Linked DNA regions of Callithrix jacchus. The protein of the gene in region 1 purifies or fractionates together with the protein of each later gene. This does not show direct contact. Links are inferred from orthologs where the notes say so. Each region holds a gene or a part of one and is shown on either strand. Other genes may lie near its edges.

Region 1 (8,598 bases):
CCTCTTCCTGTAGATGCCAGATTGCTACATTACTAAAACCAATAATGCCCTAGATTATTTGGGCATTCTGAAATGATCCATAGAATTCAAATTGGATGACTAGAATGATTTGGGTCTTCTTCAGATCACATCAAGTGACTGGTTTTAATGTTAAGTAGAAAAGAAAGAGTATTACTATAGTACTAGTTTATAAGTATTTGAACTATCAGGGTTTTATATCTAAACAACATTCCCAAAATTTCTGTTTTCAGAGTTATTTATAAAACCCTAAAACATAACTCTTCAGATGTTACAAATCCTTTTAAGTAAACAGGTTAATATTATTAATATTAACAATATTAATCCTTTTAACTAAACAGGTTAATTTTATTGTTAATAACCAATAAAATTATGCAAATTCATATAAAATGTTCATTTACAATAGTGACTTTCAGTAGATTCAATGTTTTTGAGGTTAACTTTTTTCCAAATTTTTTTTAAATTTTGAAAGTCAACATTATTTTTCAAACTTGGAGGTTATGAACTCAATTTAGTAGGTTGTAACCAGGATTTTTAAAACATGAAATACACCAGAAAATAACTATATATACTGTAAAGAGTATAGTCATTTTTTTCATGAAAATTTTACTTCAAATACATTTATAAAGTATACAAATATTGCTTATTCGGTTAATCATGTAAAATATCTTTTTAACCACTATGGTTAAAAAAGTTTGAAAGCCACTATGAAATATAATATACCAAAGTATACACAATGTTCTCAATGCTTTATTTTTAGTACTTACAAAGTTTCTTTCTAATTGCTGCACACGGTTTCTCATATTTGACAACATTTGGTCCACTGTCTGAAAAGGGCTGACATCTGTATGCTATAGAATATCAGGAAATTTGTTATCAACTATAAGTACAACACAAAAGATGCAAATACATCTTCCAAAACAGCTAAATTTTTTTTTATTCATTTAGTAGAATCTCATGCAGTAATCAACCAGACAAAGATAACTTAAAGAGCATAAAATAACAGCGATTAGTTAAGGAGAAAACTGAAGCATACACAAAATCCCAAAGAGGCAACATACAAATAATTAGGGAATTGTAACATTATAAATACATATATGCACATGTGTATATATACACATATACATGCGCATATATATACAAATACACACATACACCTAATCACTCATTGCTCACTTTTCAAAACAGAATTTGGTATATGTTAAATACTAAGTGATATATTTTCTAGCATAGAATAGTTTTCATAATTTTCCTTATCTCTCAATGCTCCACCATGCAAATAAATAAAACTTGGGTATAAGATGCCAATGTCAGCCAGGCGCAGTGGCTCAAGCCTGTAATCCCAGCACTTTGGGAGGCCGAGGCGGGTGGATCACAAGGTCAAGAGATTGAGACCATCCTGGTCAACATGGTGAAACCCCATCTCTACTAAAAATACAAAAAATTAGCTGGGCATGGTGGCGCCTGCCTGTAATCCCAGCTACTCAGGAGGCTGAGGAAGGAGAATTGCCTGAACCCAGGAAGCGGAGGTTACCGTGAGCTGAGATCGCGCCATTGCACTCCAGCCTGGGTAACGAGAGCAAAACTCTGTCTCAAAAAAAAAAAGATGCCAATGTCACCCCCACCAGTACTACAAGGATCAAAGAAGCTGCCCCTCTGGTAAGTAGACAGCCTTCCTCTATTCATAGTAGGATCCAGGTGACAGAAATCAATTCACTTTACTAAATAGGCCTTCAATTTTCTGCCTACTGAAGGGTCAGTAGGCTACACCCTTGAAGTATGAGGTATGCTTCTTCAGAAAAACAGTTAAGAATTCCTCTAAACAGTAGTTTCTCAACCAAGATTGATTTTGACTCTCAGGAGACATTTGGCAATAACTATACTCATTTTTGGCTGTCACAGGTGAGGAGAGCATGTAACTAGCATTTAGTGGATGGCGGTCAGGGATACTGCTTAACATCCTACAATGGATAGGACAGTCCCAGAACAAAGAATTACCCAGCCCAAAATGACAGTAGTGCTGAGGTTAAGACACTTTGTTCTAGGAAAATCTACCACTGATTTTAGGTTTCATCACTGGAAGACTCGCCAGCAAATAAAAGTCAAGCACACATTTCAATGTGTTACCCAGTAAATCATCTGTTATAAAATAGAAGGAGTTGCTTGGTTTAAGGAACTTCTCTGTTCAAGCAAGCAGAGCGCTGAATCTCTAAGGCCTGTTTGTGCCTCTGCCTTCTATTGCTATTGGATTTTTACATATATTAACAATGGAAAATAGGTGGGAAAACCAAATTCCTCCTAGAAACCTGCACTTAATATAGTTCGGAACAACAAAGGCACATTTAGGAAGTATTAATATATATTTGACTACAAAAAGGACTGAAGTAGAGTTTAATGCTAGACGGAGAATCCGTTCTTATTTCATGAGATATGGAAAGGTTAATCCAAAGGAGAAATAGACAGAAAGGAAAAGATCAGACATTGGGGTATGTCTGCCCTCTTCTCAATTCATGTTCAAATCAACCACCAAAAGATGTGTCTGCACCCCTTGCTCTGGGGTGACCCAACACACTAGAGTGACAAAAAGTTTGGGTACAAAATGGAGTTGAGACTTCAGTGGGCCCTTAAGGCTTTCAAAAATTTTGTACACAGGGCCATTTTGTCAATTTTATTTACAATATTCCCAAAACATATATAACAATTTCTGGCATTCAAGAGGGTTTAACAAATATTTGTGGAATGAATGAACAAATTATCTCTAGCTCAGCTCAAATCCATATATCCAATAGTTTACCAGATAAATCTCCCTGGAAAACCCCAGATGTCTCAAATGCAAAACACCCAAAACTAAAATGATGGTTTTGACTACTCCACTCTTACATCTATACTGAACCAATGCCTTATCTCAGTGGCATTCCTACCTCATTCTTTGTGCCAGAAAAATGGGTGTGATACTCCCCTTCTCCCTCTCTATTGCTCTTTCAACCCTACCAATCACTAAGTTCTAGCCATTCATCCTTTTAACCCTCTCTTGAATGAAATAATTCATTTTTATCATCATAGTCATTACTAGTAGAAGTAAGTCATCACTAATACTTTATCCAGAATTCTTCAACAGCCTTTTGACTTCACTGCCTCCACTGTAGTCTCTTCTAATCTTTCAAAAATCTGACTCTATTACCACTTTGACATTAGTCATCACTGCTTCCTCTGCTATTAAGATAATGTTTACTTTCCTTCCTATGGCCTAAAGAAGTCTCTGGTTACCACTTCATCATCATCAGTGTCTACTGTTCAACTTACACTCTGGGGCTAATTGATTCTGAACAACTTTAGCTACCTAGCCTCCAGGTCTTTGCACAGGTTGTTTTCTCTGTGTTGAACAGTATTCCTTTCCTCTCTCTCCTTTTCTAGCTAACTGCTACTAATCCTTAAGTTTCAGGAAGTCTACTTGGATTGACCCACCCCACCTCAAAAGGTGCTTTTTCCGATCTGTGCTCCCTCCCATAGCATGCTGAACTTCCTGATCATTTTACTCATAACTCTGTGTTATAACTGCTTTTGTCATTTGTCTTACTGAATACTCTGGTCAGGAGGAACAAATGTTATGCCTGTATGTTAAACTTCAAGGAAACAAATAATGCAACTGTAGCACAAAAAATTTTTTTAAAACTCTTTTCATGAGACTGTAGATACAAATGTTCCAAATTCATGTTATTTTCTGCTACTCCCTAGAATGCGTTTAGTGTGCTGGAAGCTAGCATCACAGACACAGCACAAAAACCCTAAGAAACAGGTGGTAGAAATGCTGGTTGCAGAGTAGCCATTCTTAAGTACAGATAAGAAAAAGCTGCATGGCAAGCTGGCAGCAAAATCCTAGACAAAGCAGTCAATCTGTGCTTTTCCAAATGCTGTGCTTATCTATCTACAGTTTAGTACCTTTTTTTTTTAACCTTTTGGAAAGTCATCATAAGCATGTGAAAGTCCCCAGCTTTCAAACACAACTATGAGAATCCCTTTTGTAAATCAAGCAAATATTCATCTATTAATATCTACTTTTTTTGAAGATGAATTTTATATATGTTGAAATGACTTACTTCAGGAAACATGTGCCTAAACTTTCTAAGGTAAGTTTGATACATGAAACAGAGGTTTTCAGTACAAATATTAAAAAGCCATTATGAAAGTGAGATTGCATGCCAATTTAGTCAGTCAGAGTTAATGAAAAATAAGTATTTGTCAGAAAATATTGCTAAAATGATTTGTGTCTGATACGAACCATAGCACCAAAACTGCCAAAAGGCACAAGAGAACAATTCATTGCCTGGAAAAATATCCAATTAATTTTGATTATGACATTTATTATATAGAAGTTTCTCAATTTACCAATTAAACGTTTACTGAGTTTCAAATATCTACATTTCAATTGCAGAAATTCATCTTTATAGAAACCCCTGAGGACTTGTTATCTTAGAGCTATCATTCCTGAGGCTGAAAAAGTGACAGAAATAAAAGAGGCAAAAAATAATGGTTACAATGTATAAATATCCTGTTTTTTTTTTAAAATGTTTAGTTGAGTATATTTGTAGCCTCTAGCTTTGCTCTAAGGCAAGACACATGAAAATATATTGCAGTTGCAAGACTTTTGAGATACAATTAAAGGTTAATCTAAGCTTTGAAAGTCCATAGGTAACCATATGGAATATTGCCTAAACTTTTTTATATTCCAATAAAGATAATCCTTTGCAGCTTTTGATATTATTTTCAAGTATTAAAACAATTCGTATGGGAGAGAAAGGACATTTCCTTGCCTGTTCTAGTTTCAGATATGGGAGGAAATTATAAGGTGAGAAATGTATACATAAATATAAAAAATAATGGTTTTAAGTTTGCCTTGTAATATATAACCCTATGGTCCTCAAAGTTTTGGTAGCACAGTGGAATTCTATATTGCTGACAAGTCGCTATTCAAGGATTCAGCTTTCCAAAGGTCCCCCCTTTTAAATAAGTTATTTCTATAACAAGAATATTAGTTATATCATATCATTATAGATATATACTTCTATAGTACTCTTCTTCAAATTCCTACAGGTCTTTCTCACCAACTGTCTTTGGGAAAAAAAGAACTTACAGTCAAAGTATCTTCATCATCATTACGTCCTCTACGATTATGAGCTCTCCCTCTACCATCAGAGATACTGGGCAAATCTCTTCCAAAGGGTTCAGAAACACTTCTCATCATCTGTCGCATATTTTCTTGGTGTGCAAGAATGGATTCACTGTTGAAAATATACATAATCAAGAAAGATTCAGGGTTGGAATTTAAATAAGTAGGCAGCTAAATGCCACAAAGAATTATTTTGGGATGTTTGTTAAAGAGATAAAAGAAGAATAGAATAGAATTCTATTTTATTCAGAAATAGGATAGAATTATCTCACAAAGATCCATTTTTTAGATGGTTCCCTACTTACAATGGTTCAAGTTAAAGTTTTTTGACTTTACTGTTGTATGAAAGCACTATGCATTCAGTAGAAACAGTACTTCAAGGACCCATAGAGCCATGCTGGTTTTCACTTTCAGTACAGTAGTCAATAAATTACATGAGATATTCAACACTTTATAATAAAGTAGGCTTTATATTACATGATGTTGCCCAACTGTAGGCTAATGTATATGTTTCGATGATACTCAGTAGGTTGTGTATTAAATGAATTTTGATGTGTAATATTTTCAACTTGCTATGGTTTCATTGGAATGTAATCTCATCGTAAGTTGAGAAGCATCTATGTTGATAAATAAAATTAATGAAAACCTGTTATTTTCATCTACTATAATTCATTTAATGCATAATAAAAAATACACCTTTATCCCATATTGCATAAAAATGGTAAACACAAAGTAACATGTCTCAGGTTGCTTAAGCTAAAAGAAATGGCAAATAAAGTAATCTGAAAAATACTGTTTTCAGGTAGAGTCCATTTTGGGCAGTCAATAATATAAATTCCAGAGAGGATTAATAAATACTGACTGGTTTATTTTTTAACTCTTATGTAGGAAATATAAGCATTGAGAACTATAGCTATGTTATGACCATTGTAAAGCTATATTTTTAAATAGACAAAGTCAAAGCTACAGATGTTTACGAAGCTAACTTTCTAAAAACTCTTAAATACTAGGAATCACCACATAACCAAAATATCTGTACCAACAGTGAGATGGTTAGCAATGCAGATTCCTATCTACCACTGCCACCCTCCCTACCCCAATCAAATTCACTTGCTCTGAATATGATTTGTAGACATGCATCCCTAATAATTTTTTTTTTTTACATAGGGCATCATTCTGTCACCTAGGCTGGAGTGCAGTGGTATGATCTTGGCTCACTGCAGCCTCCACCTCCTAGGCTCAAGCCATCCTCCTGCCTTAGCCCCCCAAGTAACTGGTACTACAGACATATGCCACTGTGCCTGGCTAATTTTTATATTTTTTGCAGAGATGGTCTTGCCATGTTGCCGAGGCTGTTCTCAAACTCCTGAGCTAAAGTGATCTGCCCACCTTGGCCTCCCAAAGTGCATAGGCAGGTGCCACAGCACCCAGCCTCCTTGATGATGTTAATTCAAGTAGTCCCTCAACGACCTTTGAGAAACAGTATCCCTTCTGTGTTTGTGCCTCCTGAATTAATTAGAACCTGAGCCTCTCCTCCTGAGCCTAAATTTCCTGTTGTAGAATAAGGGTAATATTGCATATCCCTGTTCTTGAAATTAAATAGTGGAATCTGAAAGCACAAAACTGAGTATCTGAGTGAAAATATGTTGAATAAATGTCAATTTCTCTTATCTCCTCTTCCTGACTCATGTTTGGATGTCACTCTATTATTCTATCATTTAATACTCTCATGAAAAAAAAGAGTGATTTATTTTAAAAACACAGCAGGAATTACAGGCGTGAGCCACCGCACCCAGCCCAATGCTGAGGCAGGCAGATCACGAGATCAGGAGTTAAAGACCAGCCTGACCAATATGTTGAAACTCTGTCTCTGCCAAAAATACAAAAATTAGCCAGGCATGATGGTGCATGCTTGTACTCCCAGCTACTCAGGAGCCTGAAGCAGGAGAATCGTTTGAACCTGGGAGGTGGAGATTGCAGCCAAGACTGCACCACTGCACTCCAGCCTGGGCAACAGTGTGAGACTCTGTCAAAAACAACAACAACAAAAAACAAAACAAAACAAAAAAAACCCACAGCAAGGATCACATTTCAGGCTCTATTCTGTGTGCTTTATAAATATCAACACTATAATCTGATGTTAACCAAGACTTGTTCATCACAAGTCTTATTGAAGAATCTAAATTTTTTTTTTTTACTTTATCACAATGGTTTCCCAACTTTGTTCCAGCTGGACAGTTACTGATGCACTAGTCAATTTCTTATTCCTCATTCTAGAACTTAAGGTACACCATGATTTCTGGCAGTCCAATGGAAGCCCCCTCTTCCCAATAGTCTGGCCTACTTTCACACTTCTCCATTTCAGTTACATTTTTCTTAAGTCACCCTTTCTCCTTCTAATTCCAATCCTCTGATGTCATCATGAAGCTAAAATTTTCCTTGCAGCTCCAGCTCAAAGGAGGAAGCTAAAAAATTCTGTCTTCTGCCTGTAATTCCAGGTAGAAAGAACATTTTCTCTGAATTTCACAGTATTTGCATACATAAACCTATTCCAAAAGAGCTCAGATTTATTCATACATTACCTTGGAAGTCAAAAAAAGCATAACTGTTCCAAGTGTGAGTTGAAGATTAGCAAACTGCTTAACTGGATTTGTGCTTGTGTGTGTAGACAGGTGTTTTCATTCAGCCTGTTTAGGCATAATTTACATATAATGAAATTTACCAATTTTAGTTGTACAGTTTGGATTTTAACAAGTGCAGAGTCATAACCTCCACCATAATTAAGATGTAGAACATTTCCATCACCCCAAAAAGTTTGCTCGTTTTTCTGCAGATAATTACCTGCTCCTAACCCTAATTATCATGAACAGGCTTTCTGTCATTATAGTTTGGTCTTTTCCAAAATTCATATAATGGAATCACATACTATATCGTCTTTTGTTTCTTTCCCTTAGCATAATGCTTCTGTGATTCATCCATGTTGTTCCATATTTCAGTCCATTCAGTTTTATTGCTAAGTTCATACATATGATAATATCAATATCATAATCACAAAACTGTTTCTAGTTTTTGGCTATTATTAATAAAGCTGCTATGAGTACTTACATACTAGTCTTTGTGAATACATACTTTGTCTTAAGTAAACACCTAAGAGTCAGGACTGCTGGCTTGTATTAGAAGAGTGTGTAAATATTATAAAACTGTAAACACAGAGTTCTAGTTGCACTACATTCTTGCTGAAATGTGGGATAGTCAGATTTTAGCCATTTGAGTGGTAATGTCATAACATCTCATTGTGGTTCTATTTTGTATTGTCATTCATATACCTTCTTTGATAGAACTGTCTATTCAAATATTTTCCTCATTTTTAAAAATCAGGTTATAAGAATTCTTTATATATTCTGGACACAGAC
Region 2 (8,598 bases), on another chromosome or scaffold:
AGAAGGCAATTCAGACTCCAGGGAATAAGACAGCCTCAGTGTGAAGCTTTTCACACTTATGCAGTGGTTGTAGCAGGATGTAAATGATGTGAAATGAGCTGATTTTGAAGTGCATATCGATGCTCCGTAAAGTGTGTGTGTATACCTGCTGTTTTTAATTTAATTCATTTGATATGATGTGTTCGAATATAATGTGTTGAATTCAACTAGCAAAACTGTTGGTGAGATGGTATTTCAGTTACTCTGTAGATACACTGTTTTGTTACTACCTGTTTTCTAAATTTTTGTTTCTGAATATGTTAAAAAACATTCATCTATTTTCTCTTATTGTAGCTATCCCATGAGGAAAAAAACTTGGAAAAAAGACTTCATCGTGTGTGTTTGTGTTTGATTTTAGAAGACCCTTTTGAGGAGTTCTTTGGGAATCGAAGGGGTCCCCGAGGAAGCAGAAGCCGAGGGACGGGGGCGTTCTTCTCTGCGTTCAGTGGATTTCCATCTTTTGGAAGTGCATTTCCTTCTTTTGATACAGGTATTAAATCCCTAGATTTAATCTCTATTGCCTTAATAAAAACAGTTAGTACTTATAAGGGTAATATTCTTTTAGTTAGAGCACTTTAAAATACGTGTATTCTTTTTTTTTTTTTCCATTGAGATGGAGTTTTGTTCTTGTTGCCCAGGCTGGAGTGCAGTGGCATGATCTTGGCTAAGTCTGCCTCTCAGGTTCAAGCGATTCTCCTGCCTCAGCCTCCCAAGTAGTTGGGATTACAGGCATGCACTGCCATGCCCTGCTAATTTTTGACTTCCAAGTCTTACTTAAGAAATACATTTTATAATACATTAGCTGTCACAGATAGTTTTTCCTTTGCTGGATCTGGGCAAAGTCAATGAAAAAATTTCTGGGGAAAAAAAAAAACAATAGTTTTAGATGGCATTAAGAACAGTGTGATTCATGGAAGGAAGGAGGTGAAAGTATCAACCTGAGCAGTAGTTTGGGAAGAAGTTGATTCCATTCCTCACGGGTGACTGAGGAGTTCAGAACTTCAGTGGAGGAAATCATGCAGATGTGGCAGGAATAGAAAGAGAACTAGAATTTTTTTTTTTTTTTTTTTAGTATGAAATGTTTTTAATCCTAGAAAGGATGCCATTGCTAGTAAAACTAAAGAGGGGAAAGTCAACAATAATGAAATTAAGGTTTTTTTTAAAATTCAGTGAACACATATCAAAATGCTCAATGTTGTTAAATGACATGATATAATTTATCCACAGAAGACATGTTCTTATTTTTTTAGTAGAGATGGGGTTTCGCGATGTTGGACAGGCTGGTTTCGAACTCCTGACCTCAAGTGATCCACCTGCTTCGGCCTCCCAAAGTGCTGGGATCACAGGCGTGAGCCGCCGCGCCCGGCCTGTGTGTTCCTTCTGCAGCATAGCATTGTAGAATTTGCCAGCTTGTTTTGGTGCACAGATCTGCGCTGCATAACCTCCATTTTCTCCTAATCTCCTACGATTGTCCTTGGAAATCTTACTGTGAATACGATATGCAGGATGAGAATGCAATGAAATTCTTAGTTTAAAAGAATGTATATTCTGGGTTAGTATATGGAAAGTAACGCACCTGGAAAATCTCAACTAACCTTCATGCTTTCTAACCTCCTTTGCAGTTAAAATGAAAGTACACAAATGGGTAGCATCCTCGGAGTGTCCCACTGATGGAAACGCTGCTCATAGACTGGAGCAATATGAAAATGTGTGTTAAGCCTGAAGAATTAGAATCCCACTTTTCTCTCAAACTCATCCAGTGTCTCTTCACAGAGGAGTTTGGTTTTTTTTTTTTTAAATACAGAGTCTCACTTTTAGTGGGTGCCCTCTTAGTGTAGTGGCATGATCTCGGCTCACCACAACTTCCCGCATCCTGGGTTCAAGTGATTATTGTGCCTCAGCCTCCTGAGTAGCTGGAATTACAGGTGTGCACCACCAGGCCCAGTTAATTTTTGTATTTTTAATAGAGACAGGTTTTGTCATGTTGGCCAGGCTGGTCTTGAACTGACCTCAGGTAGATCTGCCTGCCTCGGCCTCCCAAAGTGCTGAGGTTTCAGTCATGAGCCACCACATGTGGCCTGGAGCTGTTGTTTTGATTCTCTCATTTTTATGTTTAAACCTTCACGGTAAGAATTGGGAGAGCTTGTAATACAGCATTCCGCCCTCATAAGGTCAGAGTTTTATTTTCTTTCAACATTGTGCTCATGCAGCTAGGCAGATAGTGAAGTCTGCTCGATTGGACCTCAGTTCAGATGTGCTTTCCCTCAACAGAGCCTCTCATTGATAGGATGCAATATGCTGACCACAGGTTAAAAATACCATGTAAATAGTCCTTTTTAAAAGTATTCAGTGGCTCCTGTGTGGGGCTGTTGTGCAGCAAGCTGTCCCCACTTCTGAGGTGCCTTACAAAGTATCATAAGAATCAATACTTAGGTAGGCTTCATCTAGACCAGCGCAGTAGCCACCAGCCACATGTAGCTCCTGAGCCCTGGAGGCCTGGCGACTCCACAGGGAGATCAGTGCGAGTGTGAAACAGTCACTGGATTTCAAAGACTGAGCATGGCAAGCAGTGTAAAATACGGCGAACAATTTTGATTTTTTAAATTTCCAGCTGAAATATTTTGGATATACTCTATTCAATACTGAAATTAATTTCACTAGTTTCTGCTTTTTAGTGAACTCATTAGAAAAGGTAAACTTAACATACCTGGCTCACATAGTTCTTCAGGACACCATGAGTGCTAGACAGTGTCAGGGCGTAGATGATGAATCATGTTCAGAGTATGCGTCATTTGTGTTAATGTGAGCATTTTGGAAGCAACGTGAGTATTCAACTCTAACCAGTAGACCAGGTTTAATACCAAAAAGAGTTTGCTTTAGTGTGATGTATCAAGCTTTTTAGTGTCCACAATGTGATTGCGTCCATAACGTGTAATTGAGAATGGTGCCTGTGAACTGTAGAACCATAGCTTTTTCAGATGAATGCTTGTAACATTCCCTCTCAAATGAGCTTTTTTAGTTAGTTTCTTATTCTCTGTGGTCCTGTGGCAAAGCAAAGGGAAGCCAGTTAGGTTTGCTATTCTGTGGTGGTGAGGTTACTCTGTTGGTGTCGGATAAGGATATCCATCACAGCCCGTGGAGTTGACAGGCCACGCCGAGGCAACATAGCTTAATATTGAGGCTGGTCTGCTGGTTAGAGCTTAATACCAGTCCTGGTTCAAAGGTTAACGTTAATGCAGATGACACGTGCTCTGTCGTGCCAAGCAGACCACCCACGAGCAGGGCCGGCCTGTGGCATGTTGGCACTGACGGTCTGTGTGAGGAGACAGAGAGGGGCTGCCCTGAAGCTCTGTGGCGCTCGTGCTCCCCTGGAACCCCCGCTGAGGGATTTGAGAGGGTCTTTTCCCCTGGGACCACAGCACTTCACTGGAGGCCTTATTAGTGCCTGGTGTGTTACTCATTGGTTCCATGTCTTAACGTTAGATAATCTACTAGTGAATTTTCAAACTCTAATCTTTGCAGTAGTGATTGACATATTCCTCTAAGCATTTTCTTTTCTGTTTTCCTGTAGGATTTACTTCCTTTGGGTCACTGGGTCACGGAGGCCTCACTTCATTTTCTTCTGCATCGTTTGCTGGTAGTGGGATGGGCAACTTCAAATCGGTATCGACTTCAACTAAAATAGTCAATGGCAGAAAAATCACTACAAAGAGGTACTGTAGCATTCGGTATTGCACATTGTTAGTAAGCAGGCATAACGTTTCACTGGTGCCCTGTTGCACATCTCCCAGAGTGTGAAGTCACACACGTGGCTGTGTGCCGGATGTGGCACCACATCTCCCAGAGCGTGAAGTGTGCCAGATCCGGCACCACATCTCCCAGAGTGTGAAGTCACACGTGGCTGTGTGCCCCATCTTGGCACCACATCTCCCAGAGTGTGAAGTCACACGTGGCTGTGTGCCCCATCTTGGCACCACATCTCCCAGAGTGTGAAGTCACACAGGTGGCTGTGTGCCCCATGTGGCACCACATCTCCCAGTGTGAAGTCACACAGGTGGCAGTGTGCTGGATCTGGCACCACATCTCCCAGAGTGTGAAGTCACACATGTGGCTGTGTGCCCCATCTGGCACCGTGAAAAACCGTTTACTCTACAGATGCATTCATGAAGGCTTTTTCTCTTTAGTTAAAGTTGATTTATTAGAAGGAATCTTTAGAGCCGTATTTTATGTGTAATAATGTGTTTAGTAAGTTTCCGCGGCAGTGTTAAAATGGTAAAATGGAAAATCAATAATAAAGCCTTTCCTGTTTTATCTGTGCCTTTATTTAACATTCACCTGAACAGCTGAATGAGTGAATATCAGAGACACAATTTGTTTTTGTCAGGATAATTCTGTTTTAGGAAAGGAAGATGTATTGTTCACAGGTTGGCTTCAGCCATGTTTTTTTCAGCCTAGAAATTACTTATATTCATGGTGTACTGCAGTAATGTCCTTAAAACATACTTATTTACCCTCACACATGTATTTATGTTACCAAAAAGCTTCTTAAATGAATTTTTTCCTACAGAATTGTCGAGAATGGTGAAGAAAGAGTAGAGGTTGAAGAAGACGGCCAGTTAAAGTCCTTAACAATAAATGGTAAGGAGCAGCTGCGGCGCTTGGATAACAAGTAATTCAACGCACGCGCTTAACAGAAATGTTAAACTATAACAAGCACCATTTGAGGATTAACAGGAACATTTTTTTGAAGATTTCAAACGAACTCGACTTTCAGTATAATTGTACCTAAAGTATTTATAAACAGCTCATCGGAGCCTCTATTTGTCATAGACTTTTGAGTTTATTGTTGGGACCACATAATAGGACCATTTTTTTTTTGTCTTTAAAATTGTTGTAAATCTCTGTATGCACTTTGCTTTTTTATTAAACGTACTCCAAGGTGAGTCTTGACTCTTTAGTGTAGGACAAGATTGTACACTAACACCAGCATGGACCTGCTTTTCATTGTGTCTGAAATTGTGAGCCACGTAGCGTCGGCCTGCTGTGAAGTTAACATGGCCAGGACGAATCTTCTACAGAAATAATTTCCATTTTTTTCAGTATTTAGTAGTGAAAGATATTAATGCATTAACGGTAATACATTTCTGGTTTAATATAAATTACGGATGTTTTCTAGTTGTGCATGAATGCTGGCAACTTAGTAAGTTTTGACAATTGTTTAAATATGTAATGTTAAGCTTAGGTTTAAAAAAGTAAAGCTGGTAAACCGGGTGTTTGTCATTTGCTTAAAAAAAAAAAAAAAAAAAAAGAAAATAAATTTGAATGTGTTGGTGCATTCTTCCTGAGTGGGATCTGGAGCCTTCTTGTGTCCGTGTGTGATTTGTGCCTGGGCTTCCCTAGTGTCACTTCCATAGCGTTTTGTGATGTTCATTCCGGTGGATGCCACACCTCAGTTACATATAGACATTTTCTTCAGTATATTTGGAGTATATGAAGATTTTCATATTGTGAGTTCCTATTTAGCAATCGACTAAACATTTAATTACAGTTAACATTTCTACAGGGGTGGGAAGAAACTACTTTATAATTTTCACTCTTAAAGTATGTTCTAGTTTTTAGGATTTGATTGATGTAAGCTCACTTATGGAGTGAGGTGCGATGGCTTACTCCTGTAATCTCAATGCTTTGGGAGGCCGAGGTGGGTAGATCATCTGAGGTTCGGAGTTCGAGACCAGCCTGACCAACATTAGCTGGGTGTGGTGGTGGGCGCCTCAGTAATCCCAGCTACTCAGGAGGCTGAAGCAGGAGAACTGCTTGAACCCGGGAGGCATAGGTTGCAGTGAGCCGAGATCATGCCACTGCACTCCAGCCTGGTGACAGAGGGAGACTCTGTCTCGCAAAACAAAAAAAAAAACACAAAACACTTAATGGACAGTATGTATGGTACAGTCATGGAATGATTTAGGAGTGAGCAAAAATAAAGGTATTTTGTTTCTCAGTTTGTAGTATCTTTCTTGATTACCATTAGTAGTTAGAATTCTAGCCATAGTGAATTTTGAACTAGACTTTTAATTTAAAAAACTCTGTTTTGTTTTGGAACTAAACAGTGTGAAAGCTACTAGAAGGATAGACATTGCCCTGACAACAGCACGTCCGTGCTGGCATAGCAGGAGGGCATGGAGATTGCTCAGGATATGCCAGAGCCTCTAAGGAACCTGACGTGCTGTCACCCAAAATAAGAAATGTAAGGAATTTCATAGGTGCTCAAAACAGCATAGAAACAGTTAAGTATTTGGGGACAGTTGAACTACAAGAAGAACACGAATGATGTGCTTGTCTGTGTTGTATCACGCGGCACTTGGCATCTCTGGATGAGGTAGGTATGCAGCCATGGCACATGCAGGAAAACAGGAAGCGCCCTCTAGTGTGGTAAATCTCACCTCACAACTGGAATCGGAGGGTTATAGAGCATCCTTTTGTTTATGCTACCTGGACAGGTGGCTTCTTTGTTACTAAATGAGAAATTCAGGTAGATGCTCTGGACTTCAGGTTTTATATTTTTCGTTAGTGCGTGGGATAAGTCAGTGCAGCAGCCTCGAGACATCCAGAAAGAATACGTAAAAACGAAAAGCCTTGTCCTGTAATGTTGAAGTCAGCTAGGAGGAAGTTTGCCACAGCATTTTCAAACGCGTGGATGTTCTGGACTTTGTGGAGTGTTTTATGCAACTCTGAACAGTAGGCTCAACGTGATGTTACTGGTAAAGTGCGTTTGACTCCTAAGGTATCTCTTTGGTGAGAATTTTGAGGGGGAGGGAGCATTCATTTGCATTTGAGAAAATCACTTTTTTTTTTTTTTTTTTTAAATTTTGTGACAGTCTTGCTCTGTCACCCAGGCTGGAGTGCAGTGGCATGATCTTGACTCACTGTAACCTCTGCTATAACTGCCTCCCAGGTTCAAGCGGTTCTCCTGCCTCAGCCTCCCGAGTAGCTGGGATTATAGGTGTGTGCTGCCACACCCGGCTAATTTTTGTATTTTTATTAGAAACAAGGTTTTACCATGTTGTCCAGGCTGGTCTGGAACTCCTGACCTCAAGTGATCCACCCACCTCTGCCTCCCAGTACTGGGAATACAGGCGTGAGCCACCATGCCTGGCTGAGAAAGTTTTATTCTGTTCTTCCATTCATAGAAGTGTAATTTTATTAAGTTAGTAATAGAATAGGAAACATATTTGTTGCTCTCAAATCTTACACCTTTGATTTTTAAACCCTATTAAGTTATTTCTAGATAATTCAGTCTAAGTGTGTAAGTGTGCGTGAGAGCAGCTCTGAAAAGTTAGGAACATGCTTTGAGCATTGATAGCGTCACTTAAGTAAGTGATGACTTGGGAGAGTAATAGCGTTTAATGTCAATCACAGTTGTTGGTAAATTCGACAGTCTCTAGTGTTGAGTGCCTTTGAAAATAGGAAGCTGAATGAACACTCCTTGGTAAACGGCGGTGGGTATGTGCATGTGCGCAGCCCCATGTGGTCCCATCCAGACCAGTGTGCTGTCTGCTGTGTTTGGTTGTGTGCAAACTTCCTGTTCGAGATTATTTTTGAAGTTTTATTTTGAAATTCTTTATTTAAAAAAAATGTTTTAGTAACTTTCAAGTAAGCAGTCTTTGGTGGCGTCATGCATTAGATCGTGGTGAATTCTGAGATGCTAGTTCTCCCAAGCAGTGTATGTTGTACCTACAGTGTAGTTTTTTCGTCCCTCTTTGGCATCTTTTTGTCTGGAGGGCTCAGTAATCTGTATTTTTGTCATCTCTACCGTGTTTTCGTATTCCTTGCAGTTGGAGACTCAGGAAGGGTTTTAAATTATCTGTGGAAGCTGTCAACAGTGGCATCATGGGCTATTCATCCTTCCTCTTGGAAGTTCTTCAATGAGAAGATTTTAGAGGCGGGTGGAGTTAGCGTCAACATTTGCTAAACTTAGCTGTGCACCTGGCGTGCTGAAGGGAGCACTCCTTACAGTGCCTTAATGCCTGAGGGGCACTGTGGGGTGGGTGTCTTTCCGGTCAATATTAATTTCTTTTTATTAATTAAAGCTTTGAAAATGCCTGCTTACTCTGTTTTGATTACCTTCTAGCCATCGTTTCTCTCTCCCGGGAATACTGATCTTGTTTTTCTCCCAAGCACCATAGAATTCATTAGAAACATTTTTATTTGCAGAGGATTCAGCAGTAATAAGTACTTGTCATGTCACCTGCTGTTGATGGGCAGCGGTGTTGAAATTTAGCCATTAGCATGTTCAGTAACAGAACCAAGGCAGATGTTTTTATTTCTGGAGGTTTTCAAGCACAAAGTTACGTTGAGTTGATACTGTAGCGTCTAGAGGGGGCTGAACTACATAACCCACTGCCGTTTGTTATTTTAAAGATCGTTTTACGTTTGGGGTCTTGGTTTCTAGGCCTTTGGATATGGTGTTCCTAGCTGTTCTAGGATGTAGACCTTGGTACTACAGTATGCCCAGTGGTTGAAATGGGATAGACTGAAGGCTGTCATTTGGCCAAGTTATTT

Evidence for each region.
Region 2: the proteins of MLF1 (region 1) and DNAJB6 purify together in Homo sapiens (affinity purification with mass spectrometry; 3 studies listed by BioGRID and IntAct, counting the BioPlex papers as one, with this or other methods). This does not show direct contact. The link is inferred for Callithrix jacchus from reciprocal best matches to the Homo sapiens genes MLF1 and DNAJB6.

The regions. Positions count from the first base shown.
Region 1 is NC_133518.1:26,941,905-26,950,502, forward strand, and holds part of MLF1 (myeloid leukemia factor 1), read right to left. Parts: intron 5,298-8,598; coding exon 5,150-5,297; intron 4,343-5,149; coding exon 4,298-4,342; intron 870-4,297; coding exon 786-869; intron 1-785. UniProt on the Homo sapiens protein: Involved in lineage commitment of primary hemopoietic progenitors by restricting erythroid formation and enhancing myeloid formation.
Region 2 is NC_133512.1:90,873,008-90,881,605, reverse strand, and holds part of DNAJB6 (dnaJ homolog subfamily B member 6), read left to right. Parts: intron 1-397; coding exon 398-529; intron 530-3,610; coding exon 3,611-3,752; intron 3,753-4,606; coding exon 4,607-4,677; intron 4,678-8,598. UniProt on the Homo sapiens protein: Has a stimulatory effect on the ATPase activity of HSP70 in a dose-dependent and time-dependent manner and hence acts as a co-chaperone of HSP70. Plays an indispensable role in the organization of KRT8/KRT18 filaments.